Linked DNA regions of Saccharomyces cerevisiae S288C. The gene in region 3 interacts genetically with the main gene of each other region. Each region holds a gene or a part of one and is shown on either strand. Other genes may lie near its edges.

Region 1 (4,543 bases), on a different chromosome or scaffold from region 3:
CCACTTATGGCCACTAATACTTCTAATAACATCTTAGATGGTGGAGGTACCTCAATTTCGATACATCGTCCCAGGGTTGTTCCAAATCAAAACAACGTGAATCCTCTTTTGGCTAACAACAATAAAGCGGCTTCTAATGTACCTAATGTAAAGAAGTCAGCGGCTACACCAAGGCAAATTTTTGAAATAGATAAAGTGGACGAAAAGTTATCCATGTTGAAAAATAAAAGTTTTCTATTACATGGAAAGGATTATCCTAATAATGCTGATAATAATGACAACGAAGATATAAGGGCAAAAACCATGAATCGCAGCCAAAGTCACGTTTAAAATAATATGAAAAAAAAAAAAAAAAAAAAAAATCAGAAATATTTTATGAATTATTCAAATAGACTAATGAAGTGATAAAACCAACCTTTTTTTTTCTTCTTTAAGGTATATTGTTCGACGCAATCATGAAGTGTTGCGGTTTTTTGTTTATATTTTTCTATAACTGTTTTCCTTTTTCCCAAAGAATTATGCAAATGAAGAATATCTACGTATATATGGAAAATAATTTAATAGATATATTTTGATATGACTAAGTTATGAAATAGAAAAAAATAAGAAAAAAAAAACCTTGACTAATTACTATAAAGCTCCGTAAATAATTCCGAAGGCGTCGACCCATTGACCGACTCTGCCAGTCACACCTAGGATATATTGGCCATTAGGTGGCTGCAATTCAGCGAACCCACCTCCGTCTTTGTTACCAAACATGTCGGTCATTCTCCCATGACTCGTTATAATTTGGATAGCATCAACCCAAGCTCCGCACCTCAGATTAAACCCAATGATTATTTCACCCGGTTCTAGTGTAGCATCCGTAAAATTTTGTGTTTCATGTCCAAAGAGTACACTTTTTAGATTTTCTTCGTTTATTGAAGCATGATTTTTGATACTATGTGTAATTTTTGAGAAATAATTTCTTGGTGGTACAGAGGGCTTGGATGCGGGAGCATCCTTTGTTCCAGTTGGTTTTTCCTTGTAATAAAACCTCACACCATCTAATGCATAGCCATGGTATATTCTCACAGCAGTGACTAATCTAACATCAAAAGCGACGACGCCGACAGCATTACCACCGTCGCTGCGACCATAAAGTGGTGATTTGATACCTTGAACATTTTTAGAAAACCCATATTTCGACATGTCTAATGGCTGAACATCTAACAAAGATGGGAACTTGTCGAACTCGGTTTCCGGTGCATTAACAGAAAGAATTTTCAATTTGAAGGTATTGCCAAACTTGGCGAGTTCATTCTTGGGCAACCTGGCACGTAAATCATCTAATGTTACTATAACTTCCCGTTGAGGCCCCTGTCCACCTAGGGAAACCGGCAAGTATTCAATATGGCCCCTGGCCAAATCATCACATATAATTTCAATCAAATAGATTCCTGTGGGCGATAATATGCGGCAACTGCCGTTACCCAAAGGATATACAGAGTGTTTTATATTGGGGTATCCGCCCAATTTTGTAGGTCTCATGAACGATGGATCGTAATAATCCTGTGGTAAAGTGAAAGAGGGGTGGTACAAAAATCTTACCGTATCGAGACGGTTCCAGGTACATTCTTCCTTGGGGAAGATGGGAGGACTAGCACCAGTTGAATTAGTTCTTACAGAATAAGCCTCTTTAGTCAAGAAAGACCTATTCAAAGTGGTATAGCCTCTTAGCATAACACCGCTTTCCTGATGAGGACAACCCAGTAAGTGACCAATCTCATGCATAAATGCTCCCAACGTGATAGTCAAACATTCCCAGTAAGTACCACACTCATTACAGTCGTTGGCGACTTCACTGGTGGAGGATCTTGTCTCATCAGTAAAATAAGGCACCAATTGCTCGAGACAAGTAGGCCATGAGTAAAGCCCGTGCGACCCAAAAATGGCGAGCTTAATGCTGTCGTCACCCCCACCCAATGCGGCGTGGCCTCTAATCAACTTACCATCCCAGTGGGTGTCTAGAAACATACAAGCTGCCTGAACAGGCTTTTCGTTATTGGTGAAGGGTCCGCCGTAACTTTTAAGGGCGTCCATGGCTATCCCAAAAAGGGCGCCGGTGTTTTTCCCTTTGGAATTCTGTTGAGCTATGTCAGGGTCCTGGATTTCCTTCACCGTCTTTTCCGAACGAACTACATGTATTTTGATGGTGTTTCTCATAGCAGGCCGTTCGAACAGCGTGTCCCAGGTAAATTCTTCAACAAAGGGAAACGTCCTATTTCCCATACTGTTTCTCAGCATTTGCTCGTTCGTGTACGCTTGCATGAGTCTGGCCCCAAGTCTTAGCTTCTTGATTGCCAATTCGAGGCCATTCCCGCCCTCTCTGTCCTTCTGTTCTCGAGGAGAGTCAAACTGTAAAGGCGAATCCTTGGCCAAGATCAGACACAGGTGTACGGGAGGGTTCTGCGTCAGTGGTGTGTAGTAACATACGATTGTCCTAGCGGTGTTAGTGTCTGTAACAAAGGTCAACTTGTTCTCACCAGGAGTCAATATCACAGTGGCCTTGAAGAACTGATTATGTATGGGGTAAGTAATTGGAGGCAATTGTGGATGCTGCACTTGAACGGTCTTCGCACCATTTTGCTTATTGCATTTTCCGTGCACGATAAGACAAGGAGAAACGATTTGCTCGTTCTCTCTCAGGTTGAATAGATCAATATCCTTCGAGCCTACCATTTATTTCTTTCTCTTCGAACTACTACTTCCTTTTTTTTTTTTTACTGTATACGATCTAATAATAAGAAGAAAGAAGAACTCCTTTTAAATTTCCTTTTTCTCTCTATTTTCCGGCGACCGCTACTCTTAAACGTCCAAACCAAAAAAAGATCGAGAGAATTGACTGCGCCAAGACACATGAACTTCTGAAACCTAAGAAAGCCTGACTGTTCCTAAGGTGATCTATATTTATATACAACATCATGCTCTTAAAAGAATAGGTTACGTAATTAATTGATGGAAAATTTCAGCAAATTTCCGCCTAGAATGCCGGGTAACAAAAAAGTAATTAGTGCTATGTTTGGGTGATAGAATCGTGTCACAAATATACATAGCACTGACAAGTGTGCATTTTGCACTAACCACTGCTATAAGTTTTTCAGCTTAATGCAGTCTATTCAGGCACTATCTGGGCTTGAAAAACAGTCTTGGACATGGCCACTGGAGCAGATTTGTTAACGCTTAGCTGTTCTCTTTTTTTTTTTCTTGTTTTTTCCATTTACGGCAGAAGAAAATGAAAACTGGAAGAACGAAAACGAAGAAAAACAAAACTATGTAAGGAGGATGGTACATCAGGAAACAGGCCAAAAATAGCACTACAAAAAGGTTTTATCTGGCACTCAGGTCCATTTTTGCCGCATTGAAACAGACATAAATATATAAGTCTGAGACCATCTGCAAAATGTCTCATCACAAGAAACGTGTTTACCCACAAGCTCAGCTCCAGTATGGACAAAATGCCACCCCTCTACAACAGCCAGCACAATTCATGCCTCCGCAGGATCCTGCTGCAGCTGGAATGAGCTATGGTCAGATGGGAATGCCGCCACAGGGTGCAGTCCCTTCCATGGGGCAGCAACAATTCCTAACCCCTGCTCAAGAACAGTTACACCAGCAAATTGATCAGGCCACCACTTCCATGAACGATATGCATCTGCACAACGTACCGCTAGTCGATCCTAACGCTTATATGCAGCCACAGGTTCCCGTGCAAATGGGCACACCTTTGCAGCAACAGCAACAACCAATGGCAGCGCCTGCGTATGGCCAACCTAGCGCCGCAATGGGCCAAAACATGAGGCCCATGAACCAGTTGTATCCAATCGATCTGTTGACGGAATTGCCTCCTCCAATTACCGATCTGACCTTGCCTCCCCCACCGTTGGTTATTCCTCCAGAAAGGATGTTAGTTCCTTCTGAATTGTCCAATGCGTCTCCAGATTATATCAGGTCGACCTTGAACGCCGTTCCTAAGAACAGCTCCCTGCTGAAGAAGTCTAAACTTCCATTTGGGCTTGTTATCAGACCATACCAACACTTGTACGACGATATCGACCCGCCTCCATTGAATGAAGATGGACTTATTGTCCGTTGTCGTCGTTGTCGTTCTTACATGAACCCTTTTGTCACTTTTATCGAGCAAGGCAGAAGATGGAGATGTAACTTTTGTCGTCTGGCCAATGACGTTCCTATGCAAATGGACCAGAGCGATCCAAACGACCCAAAGAGTAGATACGACAGAAATGAAATCAAATGTGCTGTGATGGAATATATGGCCCCAAAGGAATATACTCTAAGACAACCACCTCCAGCCACTTACTGTTTCCTGATCGATGTCTCCCAGTCCTCTATCAAGAGTGGGTTACTGGCCACTACCATCAACACCCTTTTGCAAAATCTTGATTCCATTCCAAACCATGATGAAAGAACCAGAATTTCCATCTTATGTGTAGACAACGCCATTCACTACTTTAAAATCCCATTGGATTCTGAAAACAATGAA
Region 2 (4,259 bases), on a different chromosome or scaffold from region 3:
CTTGTTATAACTACGAAGGTAACTACATCAAGAACTTATCGCAGATCGGAAGACCATTGTCCGAAACAATCATCTTAGATAATTCGCCGGCCTCTTACATCTTTCATCCGCAACATGCTGTTCCGATATCTTCTTGGTTCTCTGATACTCATGATAATGAGTTACTAGATATTATCCCACTTTTGGAGGACCTTTCATCAGGAAACGTGTTGGATGTGGGGAGCGTGTTGGATGTGACGATATAGATTTCTCAGTAACATAAAAAGCAGGCTCTTTTTATTACCCCCCCCTTCGGTTATATGTTTGGACGAACTCATGTTTCTCTTTTTATACAGAAGACTTCACCGGATATTTATAAACTTAATGAATTAATTTGCTTATTACATGTATCAATTGTACTTTACGTGTAACATCTACAGATACATATATCCGTATATACTAGCATATATATAAATATATACTCTATACATATATCTATTTATTATGCTTTTCTTTCCTCTTTTTATGGCATATTATATTTTACAAAGAAACCACAAAGAAAAAACTTTTACCTCACCTTGCATTAGGAAACCTCAAATTTTCTATCATTGGCTTACCAATTCTATCTATAACATCATGCGCCCATAAAACGTCCAGATGGGAATACTCATCAATATACCAGATTTTGTACACTGCATTTGCTTCATGATTAATGAAGTGATTAATTAATCGTTCACCATCTACTAATCTATCTTGCTTTGGAATAAACATTATAATGTGTGGAAATTCTTCACTATTTTGTCTTTTCGGATTTAAGTGTAGTTTGTTGTTATCCAAATTATTGCCACTGTCATCATCATTCTTGGCAATAGGAAACCATGTCTTTTTATCTGGAAAAATTTTCTCTGCACCCTTCTTAAAACTTAGCTTATTAGGAAGAGGTGACAACCACCATTGCATTAGTTTGACGGAAATATGGACTGGTGAAAATAAGAAATTTCGGTCCCTTAAAACTCTATCCCATAAGACATCGTTCCAATCAAATAGGTAGTTAAACATGATGTATGAGAGGAACGAAAAAATCTTGGTCCCAACCATTAGTTTTCTCATTGTCATCATAAGAGGTATAAACGATCTTCTACCAAAGTACCACGGAGAATCAATACCTTTTGCCATTAGCCTCACAAATGCTTTTTCATCCAATAAAGGTCCAGGGTACACTGCAGGTGCCAAAGCAACAAAGTTTTCCAGCTTATCGACTAATTTAAAATCACTTGCGTATAGTTTCTCACCGTTGACAAGCCCCATAAACCCTTGTGTTGTACCTTGTGAATGCGCCACGAGCGATAGTTTAGCATATCCGGTACTATCAAGTACATAATTTATAAGTGCTTTTAAATCGTATTGAACCATCTGGTGCATATCCCAATCCCATTTTTTGGAATGATCATTACCTAATTTTTTCATGTTCCACTTGGCATTTAAGCCACATCTGTTATTCCCCAACCAAACATCAAATCCAGATTCATAAAGGAAGTATGCCAGAGATTTTCTACCTGAAGATGCGAAGGCCCCGCAACTTTGCAAAAGACCGTGTAATAGCAAAATGGGTTCACGTTTCACTTCCTCTACGCCATCGTTTAACCTGGACTTGAAGTGCCACAAATCAATGATAAAACCGTCGTCTGTCTCCACCTCAAATTCTTCAATATCAATACCATACTCTTTATAATAGTACTTTAAGTCAGGTACCAGCTTGGTATCCTCCGCAAGCGCAATGTTTTGGAAGGGATTCTCTGCAGCATATGGGGCTTGGTTCACATTCGTTTCCATTTTAATATTAGCATTTCCATCACCGTTCTCTGATAAAGAGGCATTACTAGTCATGGACAGCTTGCTAGTCACAGTACGGTCATATTCAATATTATTTTCCTGATCCCGCTGTAAATCTAAGGGCGTTGTGGAAGATATTGACAAAGGTCTAGAGTGACGTGCTGGTCGTTTCTTCTTCTTGTCATTTGGCTGGATCTTGGTTCTCGAACTTCTTGTATCTCTTGGATCATTTTTATGTTGGAAATGAACTGTCACGTAATTCTTCCATAGTGACAAAATGAATAACCCCGTCATAAACGAAGTGAGAATTATTGCGCTCACCAACCGCTGAACCTCATCAACCACCTTATTTACCATGCTTATCGTAAAGGTGCCACGGGGATCCCAATGATAGTTGAGTATTTCCCAACAATTTTAATTATACCTTTGATGAGAAACATTTGCGTACTATTTGTGTGAAAAAAAATGAAGAACTTAATGCGCGAATTATTGGGATAACAACGCCAATGGTGAATCAAAATATTAACAATGACAAAAAGAATGGGCTATTTTTGTACAAAATACTGTTGCAAATATGATATCATATGAATTCCAAACTCATCTACCGAAAGGAAAAGATAGCTCATTGAACGCTTCATCCGAAAACAAAGAATTGTATGTACAAGCCACGCACTTTAATAACACAATTCTATTGCAAATCAGACTAAATGGGGAAATGGATTCCACCTATGAGGTATCTTCAAAAGGACTAAACCCAATTCTCGATATCAACGTACCACTGGCAGGAAACCTAGGAAACACGGGTGGCGATTATGACGATGAGGAAGAAGAATTTGTAAGAGACCATTTATCTGATTATCAAGTGGTTACCAAGTTGGGAGATAGTGCCGATCCTAAAGTACCCGTGGTATGCGTACAGATTGCCGAACTATATAGGAGAGTTATTCTACCAGAAGTGAGCGGTACGATGGCCCAAGACAACATGCAATTCAGCTTGCTGATATCCATGAGCAGTAAGATATGGAGAGCAACGAAGGAACAAAGCGCTGACGATAATGATTTTGGCAAATTAGTTTTTGTGTTAAAGTGTATCAAAGATATGTATGCAAAGTGATTCTATATAAATTAGTTATGCGTTGTATTATCTATGACTGCCATATCCAAGACTTGCACAGTTCCCTTTTTATCACATAGGGTCATCAAATCTCTATAATTGACAGGATCGATAAGACCTGTACATGTCCAAGGATCCAATTCCGGCTTCGTTGACTCTCCAGGCGATGAAGCTATCAATTTACTAATCTTCTCAATAAGTTCGGGTTGTCTAGATGGCTCACTTATGGCCACTTTGACTTTCATCTTCGCCCTTACTATTGGAATAATTTGCTTAGAAACCAATAATTTGATAGCCTCTAAAGCTTGCAATTTGGCAGGTTTGTTAATAACAGGGCTGAACTTCAGTTCCTGTAAAGCTTTGTGGATCATTGTGGGCGGATATCTTTTCTTTGACACAGGATTTATACATTTAGCGCTAACTATTGTAAGCATTTCGTTATTAACTTTATTAAGCATTAATTGTCTTTCTTTTTCCGATAATTGAATCTCTCCCTTATGCATGATCTCCTCGATGACATCATCAACATTTGTAGTCCCGAAACACTTTTGTAGATCTTCCTTATTAGCAACCAAGCCTTTCGAAACATTCATGAAAACTTGATGTATCTGCAGCACTTCATCCAGATCTTTTTCAATTCCTTTTCGATAGTCTTGGACCTTATTTTGGTAGCACGCGACTTCAAATCTCTTGCGAGCCTTTTTTAATCTCACTAATGAAACATTAGTTAACTTAATCTGTCCCGACGGTTGATTGATAGGCATTGCGTGTTTTACCTTTTCTTTCTCAGAACTATTTTAGTAAAAATTTTAAAAACTTTTACTACTGCATGAAATCACTTAAGTTCGGCCTAGAAAAATTTTTTCATGAACATTATTATATATACAAGGCACTGAGCAGAACAATACACGCTAAGTTTTGTTCTTTCATGAGGTCATAATAAGTTAAATAACAGTCAATACATAAATGCAAAACTAAAAGTACACAGTTTTATTATTTTCTTTTCGTCGTAATGTAGTTTTTATAATCAGTCAACTTTTTTTTTGCTTTTAGATTTCGTTTGTTCCTTTTGTCTTTGGATCCAAAGTTTCTTGAAAATGTAGCCAAAACAATGCCAGCAGGAATATCGAAAAAGATGGGTATAATATAAGTAAAAAAAAAATTTTAACAATGAAATAATACAGGAGAATTCGTGGTTTACAATTTCTGGTTTTTTTCGAAATTGCTATGTGGCTTCTCCAACAATGTAATTGTAGGCTTTTCTTTCTTTTAAGTCCGTTTATCGTATACAGAAAAAGTGCAGGATGTTGTAAGTAAAGGTAGTCAGTCATAC
Region 3 (3,560 bases):
GTCTGGTATCGATTGCAATTGAGTACTATAATAGAGTTCTAGAAAACTACGATGATGGAAAGTTGAAAAAACATGCTGCCTATAACAGTATTATAATATATCAGCAAAGCGGAAATGTTGAGTTGGCCGACCACCTCATGGAGAAGTATTTAAGTATTTGAGAACTTGTTTAAATATTTTAAACTATAAAGTATAATTGTAATATAACCCTTAATAATAGAAATATATAGAAATACCCCTTCAAATGCTACAATGTGTTCGTAAGTACGACATCCATTGCATATACTGGAACGTATGATCCCCCTTCCATAATGCAAGTAAGTCAGTTTGAATGCCAATATGGGATAATGTATATTATCTAGAAGAAGGTAAAAATAAAGATGAATAAATATTGACCGACGCCAGAGATTTGGAATGTGAATAGAGCGATTCTTCGAAAGAGATGAAAGGACGATAAAACATTTTTGATAAAAGATAATGTGTAGATAACATTGGATACACTAGCTTCTCCTCATCGATTTTAGTTTTTTGGCCCAAGCATACTTAATTGACTTTGTGATTCCAGCTGTGAAAACACCTTTAATAGTTTGTAATGCACTTGATTTACTAATACGGCTGAGCAAAAGTCTCTGAGTATTCTTTAATGTGAACCCTTTTGGAAGATAAAATGAATCATTTAGGACCACTTCTTTGTAAATCGGCTTGTAATACTCTTGAAATCTTTCAAAGTTTTTGGTAACAATGTTGTTAACTTTGTCGGGATTTTCTCCACCCAGTTTGTATCTAATATCACCTGCATAACTTAAGGCAGTGATCTCCTTGTAAAATTGGAATTCGTCAAACTTATTGTTATTTTTCTCTAAGGTGTAATGTTTGGCCAAAGTAGCTGCAGCTTTTAAGTTTAATTGGTTCCAATATTGCACTCTCAAATCATTCTTCAATATTTTTACAGGCTTTTGTAGTCGTCCTGCTAAATAGAATGTATTCCAAGTAGCTATGTCCTTTAAAAGTGTTTCCATAGAAACCACCCCATATTTTACGTCGTGTCCATTTATATTTGCAAATGGATTAAAATATACGCCTGCGCCGATCTGTTGAAATTTAGACACGAACTCGGAACCGAAGTATTTCAAACTTGAATAATGTTGCGGATTCTGCCTCATATTAATAGAGTGAAAATGTGATGGATATGTGACGCCCAAGATTATATCGATTTGAGGTTTGCTATGACTTTTGGAATATCCCGCTTGTTCGAAAACTCCTGAGCCGTAACCAAATACAAACCGGCACGGAGCTTTGAAGGATGACATTACCCCATCCAGTTCCTTTTGAAGTTCCTTATCGATAGTAATGAGCTGGTTACTTCCATAGTTGGGGGGCAATCTGTGAAACTTGTACATATAATTTGTAAAATTGGAAGTCATTTCGTCAGTTTTTCTTATACCTTTTTCCAAGAGGTCCAGATCACTGCCTTTAGTAATTCCCTCGATGTAGTGATTCGGCCTTTCGTTAATAGTTCCATCGGGGATAATGCCAGCATCATCTATGGAACTTCTCCCCTCCTTTATTTGAGTACTCAGAAGCCTATTAAACATGCTTACGTTCGTTGAATGGCATTTCAGCAGAAACCGTAGACCATTTTCAGAAACTCGTAACATAACTTCAGGATATATCAAAGTAAAAAGCAGCTCCTATTAATTCAAATTATTAGCTCAATCCTATAGCAACGTTTCTCAAGTTTAATTGTTTTGAAGGTTTTAGAACCTTTTTCACATTATTTAGTCCGTCGAAACATCTACTCTTTACTATTTATGGCTAAACAGGCTGAAGGGTATGATTTCTTTTCTTTTCTTTATTCATGTCGGGTAAGAGAAGGTCACTTGACCTATGATGTGGGGGCAAATAATAACGTGGGAATAACAAGCGCGCTACTGGTAAGTGAAAAACTAAGATAACAGTTGAATTTCGTGTTTAGATGCTATAGAGAGTCTGGTACAGCATTGGCGATTTAAGACTTCTCTAGTCCACATTTCTTAAATTCAAAATCACAAGCGCCTGTTAACGATCATTTTATAATCTACGATGTGTAAATGCAAAAAGTGCTTTCCTCCCTCTTTAGTTTGGACAGGGATAGTGGGTAAACGAGTAGCATTATGAGTGCATACATTGCCAGAAAGAAACCGCAAAGCGGCATATCTTTTTTCTTCTTTCTGTTGTAAGGGATGCTTCGTCACGTAAAATGGCCGCCGGAGTGAGATGTCACAGATTACATCAAAAGGTCGGCGTATACTGGATAAGAAAATCCGAACTTTTCCGGTGGGCTTTACCAGCAGAAAAGTGGCCGGGCATGTATTAAATATATCACCGTATTTTCTGCTGGCTTTTTCTTATGCAGAGAACAAAGGCCAGAGTGCCTTCGAGGAAATTAAAGGGAGCAATGTGATAGATATGTCCTGTGTCATTTGCTTCAATTTTTCCTGCCATTTATTTGTAGTTATATTTATATCTAGATCAACCGAAACTATACCAACGACGAAGCTGCTTCTTAGTAAATATATTTTCTACTGTGTCAACGCATTGGAACTGACATTGTTCTTATCCTATAAGTCATACAGTTGAATTTGTTAATTCTTTACTAGAAGTTGGGATTTTCAGCACTTATGTCACCGTGTTATGGACAAAACAGTGCCATCGCCAAGGGGTCTTGGAACAGAGAGGTTTTACAAGAGGTGCAACCGATTTATCATTGGCACGATTTCGGGCAAAACATGAAAGAATATTCGGCATCACCCTTAGAGGGGGATTCCAGCCTGCCTTCCAGCCTGCCTTCCAGCACTGAGGACTGTTTACTACTATCATTAGAAAACACAATCACAGTTATAGCCGGAAATCAGAGACAGGCTTATGACTCTACGTCGTCTACTGAGGAAGGTACAGCACCTCAATTACGGCCGGATGAAATAGCGGACAGTACACACTGTATCACGTCATTAGTTGATCCGGAGTTCAGAGATCTTATTAATTATGGACGTCAAAAAGGAGCAAATCCTGTATTTATTGAGAGCAATACAACAGAACAATCCCATTCACAGTGTATTCTAGGCTATCCCCAAAAATCGCACGTGGCACAGCTATATCACGACCCCAAAGTACTCAGCACAATTTCCGAAGGGCAAACAAAAAGAGGAAGTTACCACTGTTCTCATTGTTCTGAAAAGTTCGCAACGTTAGTTGAGTTTGCCGCGCACTTAGACGAATTCAACCTTGAAAGACCGTGTAAGTGTCCCATAGAGCAATGTCCCTGGAAAATATTGGGTTTCCAACAAGCAACTGGTCTGAGAAGACATTGTGCTTCCCAACATATAGGAGAGCTTGATATAGAGATGGAGAAATCATTAAATCTAAAAGTAGAAAAATATCCAGGACTGAATTGCCCATTTCCTATCTGTCAGAAAACGTTTAGGCGCAAAGACGCCTATAAGAGACATGTGGCCATGGTGCATAACAACGCTGATTCAAGATTTAACAAGCGTTTGAAGAAAATTTTGAACAATACCAAA
Region 4 (5,040 bases), on a different chromosome or scaffold from region 3:
TCTAACGGTGCTAGTAACTCTAATATAGTGAGTGTTCCCACTGGTGCAGCACGTGTTTTAAGAATGCAATTCAGATTAACAGTCACTGAAAGATCTGGACTTGGAATCTCCTGGGACGAAGAAGTTCCTCCCATTTACCAAGATGTCGAGTTGCTCTCGCCACCATGTTACGAGCTCTCTATAAATAATGGAATCAAAAATAAACTTTATTCAACAATGAGTACTCCTGTTAGATCAGAGGATGATTTTGTGGGCGGCAGCGATGAAGATATTGGGAACTATGAGAGCCAAGGGCTCGAACCTGGTCCTAACGTACAGGAAGTAACGATCACACAAAATAAATTAACGATACCACCAACCGCACATCACTACCAGCCTGCTTCCTCTTCGCAAAGATCCCTTACCACAGTACAGTCACCACCACTGGAAAGTGTTGTTAGTGTCCAGGGTAGTGTACCTTTTCGTGGACATGTGTTGACACCACATAGCACAAGAGATATCAGAATACAAAACTTTTCCGATTTTCTAGATTCCAATAGAATAACCCAGTAGATTTTATAATATTCGTTAAAGGTATTTACCATATATTTTTATCTTAGATACCTGAAAACTACAAATCTGATCAATAAGCAAACCCTGACCATGATTTGATGCATTTCACAGATAACTACATACAGGCATTGTTTAACACTTGAGCATTTTTTTTCTCGTATTTTCTTAAGGCTGGACTGGATTAATATCTTCATTTCGTCGTAGGTACATAGCTTTGTTATGATAAAGAAGAAGGCATAAGTCGAAAAAGATATTTCGCGCATCAATTAACATTTTTTGTGTGGTGAAGAAAAGTTTTTGATCATTCTATATATCTATGTGTTACGTATATCTTCAACAATCTGCCACGTAGGTAGCCATGCCAAGTACGCGTAATCATCTACTGGACCATCCATCCCAAAACTAAAAGGAGAGAAATAAAAAAATCCAGCGATCACGATTGATCCGTATACAATATAAGCTCCTAGCCTTAGAAATTTTCCAGTGTTTCTTGTAGCCCAACGTTTGGTAATCATATCGAAGTAGTATGACAAGATCATTAAGGCAAAATAAAGGGTGGGCAGATAGTGGTGAGCGTATACAACTCTTGACATCACTACGAATGGCATATAATGTAAAAGCCAAGCAAGCAATGGATAAAAGGCTGCCATAACGAACACGTCACGTTCGACTGGATCGGATAGGATAACACATTGTCTCTGCCATTTCAGAGTTAAGAATATAACGTGTATTATCAGTGCGCAAACTGCGATGCTTGAGGGCCAGACGGACGCAGGAGATCCTAATAAGAAGTACTTTATAGATTTTTCACTCCATTCGCATAATCTTACCCCGACGTTCAAGGTTGGCCATTGCCAGGCAGATGAAGCTATACCATCAAACTTTTCAGGGTTTGGTACCAAAGCATTATTGGTTGCCATCATTGCTGAATTTAACTGCATGAAATTCCTGAAGAATGAAGTCTTCGGATATACGAAATCTTCTCCCTGTGGCAATCTTTCATTTTCATGTGTTTCGATATTCCACCAGGTTCTCTTATCCCTTTTGGAGGCGTGTTTTAAACAGACAACTTCACCTTGCCTGAAACCCCATTCTGGTAAATGTTTACCTGACTGAGCTAAATAGCAACCCAGTATAGAATTTTTAATACGGAAAGATGTGGATAGCGGGTGTAGTAGTGTTGGATCTTCTTCCCCTACTTGTTCCACGATTTCTATAATCCAGTTATCTTTGTAGTCACCTAAGTCTACATCTCCGTAAGCAGAAACTTCATATTCACTTTTCGATATAGGCGCTGGGACTTCATGGGTGTGTAGATTCTTGCCTGTTAGGCGATGCATTAATCTATACATTTCGCCACCCTTTACAAACTCAATTGTCTTGTTCTCAGCATCAGTCCAAGGCTCTACTCCTCTGATTCTTTGAAAAAACCATTCATTGTTAGCATCACTGTAACCATAGACAGTTACTTGCTGTTGCTCAGAACCTTCTGGGAATGGTTGGACATGAGAATGTAATAAAGCGCCTCCCAACGCTTGATTTTTGATGGAAATAATAGAAGAACCCAAAGCAACATCACGTGGTCCCTTACCAACTTTTGTACCGTTCAGACTGGCTTGAAATAATGATGGCATGGTAGAGTCGCCGGGCCCTGAGTTGGACAGCAGATCAAAATGGATTTTGAAGCATAACAAAAAAACGCAAACAGGAATGATGATAAGCCCGAATATTCTTGCTAGCCAATGGTTGACATAAACCTTCCAAGACACCGATCTATCACTTAGGAGATTCCATAGTTCACTGATGGTGTAAATTCCTACTACACTGATGATGAAAAGACCTACCATTTTCACAGATATAGCGCAACCCAAATTCAACCCAGTGAGGCACAACCATAGCCACCACCTAGCCGAAAAGGGAGACTTTCTCATAGTATGGAACTTGGCAAGGCAAAAGTAAGAAGAGACGGTAAAGAAAAGTAGCATTGAATCAAGGAGAATGAACTTGCCTAATGTTGCATACGAATTCTCAAAAATTACTAGAATGGTAAATAGCCAAACACTCAGCCTAGAAAATCCGATAGCCCTTCCTGTGAAATAGGCTAGTGGCACACACAATGATGAAAACATTGCTTGAAATAACCTCATTTTCACATAATCGATATAGTCGGGATAAACCTCACCAGATGGGAAGTCCCAAGAACCATTGTAGCCAGCCAAATAACCAGACAGTCCAACAAGCATTTTACCTAAAGGTGGATGAACATCATGGTAAAATTCGTGTCTCAGATAGTAAGAGCCGAACTTACCAAAATGAGCTTCATCCCAGACCACATGATTATTACGACCAATCTTGTACATTCTAGTGAACATGCCCAGTACCGTGAAAATGATCGGCATAACTATGGTATCCAGGTGTGATACTGCACTCTCGTTCTTGACTTTATCATACAACTCGGCATCATCCTTTAAAAAGTTGTCAGCATCCTCGAGTTCCTCTTTTACTATTGGCGTTCTCCATATCAAATCATCGTCAGTACTTTTTTCACTGTAGCCCGTCGCCACTCTGTACGGCATTGTCTGTTATTTTATTTGCCGGTATTTGGAGCACACAAATATTTGTTTTACTCTTATGTCGAAAGGAAGAGTTGGAATGCCCTTCTTTAGAGATTTTCTATTGTACACCGGCCAGGTGGCCTATTATATTTGCCTTTCCTCGCGTCGCGATTTTCAATTAAAGGGCGCGAGTGCCTAATCTAGATCTGAGCTTTGTTCTTAAACGAGTTCTTACAGGGTGGTAACTCATTCATTCTTTACATATCCATTTTCGTTAACGCAAACATTCGTCAAGTCATCTGGAATACTAACCCGGGACAGGTTCCTTTTAGCTGTAATGCCTCTAGGATGATTACTATAAAGAAATGTAACATACTTACAGAAAAGGGAAGTATTCTCTTAACAAGGCAGAAATTAAGAGAATACTACTTAGGAGAGTAAACCTGTTGAATTTTTAAGCCGCAGTAAACGTTTGTATTCCTTAGTTATGAGGAAGTTCAAGTAAACAGATTACTTACTTTTTTAGTAACATCCGGCAACCGTACCAGAATTATTACATTTATTCCAGAAGCATTTTCAAAAGTTTATTGCATTGGTATTCATTGGTAAGATCCATTCATTTGGAGAATATGCTTATGATACTTAAAAATTGGAAAAATAGCCGCCATCAACGTTTTAGGGTTGCTCAACATTGGCGTTTAGGGTTTTGATAAAATGTAGGGCTTTTTAAAATATCACTTGTATACTCTCTCGTTCCGCTCAGCACGCGACCGTTTGAGCAAAACTAGCATCTGGTACACTATAAACTAGTGCTCGGTTCTCGTTCATTAGTGATGATCGTACTGTATCAGGCTGGTGGATTAGTCGAAATCACCGGGAAACAAATACCGACCACTTGTGGACAACATTGTGACATTATTTGCTAAACTGTATACTTCGGAACTATCATTCCAATTATGAGGTTGATATCCAAAAGAAGAATCAGATTTATTGTGTTTATTTTGTTCGGCGTCCTCACTGTATTCGTAGTATCAAGACTTGTTGTTCATTTTCAGTATAACCAAGAAATAAAGTTCTATAAAAAGTATTTTCAACAGAGGAAGGATGGGCTTCACGAAATTTACAACCCATTAGAAATCAAGCAAATACCCAAGGAAACGATAGATGACTTATATACCGCCCGTTTAGATAAAGAGTTGAAAAACGGTGAGGTCATCGAGTGGTCCAAGTTTGCATACGTGAATTATGTGACTAATGCTGATTATCTTTGTAATACGCTGATCATATTCAATGATCTGAAACAGGAGTTTGAGACAAAGGCCAAGTTAGTTCTTCTGATATCTAAAGATCTGCTAGACCCAAACACTTCCTCAAATGTGGCTTACATTAGTTCACTCCTTAACAAGATTCAAGCTATAGATGAGGACCAGGTAGTTATCAAGTTGATAGATAACATTGTGAAGCCAAAGGATACTACACCTTGGAATGAAAGTTTAACAAAATTACTAGTATTTAACCAAACAGAATTTGACCGTGTGATTTATCTTGACAACGACGCAATTTTAAGATCAAGCTTGGACGAATTATTTTTCCTACCAAATTATATCAAATTTGCAGCTCCATTAACATACTGGTTTTTATCTAACAGTGATTTGGAAAAATCATACCATGAAACGCGACACCGTGAAAAGCAACCAATCAACCTCCAGTCGTATACAAAAGTGCTGACTAAAAGAATTGGGAAAGGTCAGATGATTTATAATCATTTGCCGAGTTTGCCGCATTCATTGTACTTGAATTCTAATAACATAGCTCAGGACATTATAAGTTCTACATCATCTTTATCGCCGTTATTTGATTTCCAAAGTAGTAAAAAGGTTGGAAAATTAAAATTTGCTTCTAATTTAATGGTTATTAATCCTTCAAAGGAGGC

Evidence for each region.
Region 1: mutations in TAM41 (region 3) and YIL108W together harm fitness more than expected from each alone (negative genetic interaction), as found in Saccharomyces cerevisiae (one large-scale study listed by BioGRID).
Region 2: mutations in TAM41 (region 3) and YEH2 together harm fitness more than expected from each alone (negative genetic interaction), as found in Saccharomyces cerevisiae (one large-scale study listed by BioGRID).
Region 4: mutations in TAM41 (region 3) and PMT3 together harm fitness less than expected from each alone (positive genetic interaction), as found in Saccharomyces cerevisiae (one large-scale study listed by BioGRID).

What each region holds. Positions count from the first base shown.
Region 1 is NC_001141.2:159,065-163,607, reverse strand, and holds YIL108W (putative metalloendopeptidase), read right to left. Parts: upstream 2,722-4,543; coding exon 631-2,721; downstream 1-630. Other genes in the region: PFK26 (6-phosphofructo-2-kinase), read left to right, coding at 1-330; COPII subunit SEC24, read left to right, coding at 3,443-4,543.
Region 2 is NC_001144.5:181,237-185,495, forward strand, and holds YEH2 (sterol esterase), read right to left. Parts: upstream 2,170-4,259; coding exon 553-2,169; downstream 1-552. Other genes in the region: PSR2 (putative phosphatase), read left to right, coding at 1-245; IRC25 (Irc25p), read left to right, coding at 2,387-2,926; guanine nucleotide exchange factor SDO1, read right to left, coding at 2,938-3,690. UniProt on the Saccharomyces cerevisiae protein: Mediates the hydrolysis of steryl esters. Required for mobilization of steryl ester, thereby playing a central role in lipid metabolism.
Region 3 is NC_001139.9:582,993-586,552, reverse strand, and holds TAM41 (putative phosphatidate cytidylyltransferase), read right to left. Parts: upstream 1,659-3,560; coding exon 501-1,658; downstream 1-500. Other genes in the region: transcription factor TFIIIC subunit TFC4, read left to right, coding at 1-161; YGR045C (uncharacterized protein), read left to right, coding at 2,257-2,619; RME1 (Rme1p), read left to right, coding at 2,661-3,560. UniProt on the Saccharomyces cerevisiae protein: Catalyzes the formation of CDP-diacylglycerol (CDP-DAG) from phosphatidic acid (PA) in the mitochondrial inner membrane.
Region 4 is NC_001147.6:914,118-919,157, reverse strand, and holds PMT3 (dolichyl-phosphate-mannose-protein mannosyltransferase PMT3), read right to left. Parts: upstream 3,129-5,040; coding exon 867-3,128; downstream 1-866. Other genes in the region: LDB19 (Ldb19p), read left to right, coding at 1-552; GNT1 (glucose N-acetyltransferase), read left to right, coding at 4,064-5,040. UniProt on the Saccharomyces cerevisiae protein: Protein O-mannosyltransferase involved in O-glycosylation which is essential for cell wall rigidity. Forms a heterodimeric complex with PMT5 and more rarely with PMT1 to transfer mannose from Dol-P-mannose to Ser or Thr residues on proteins.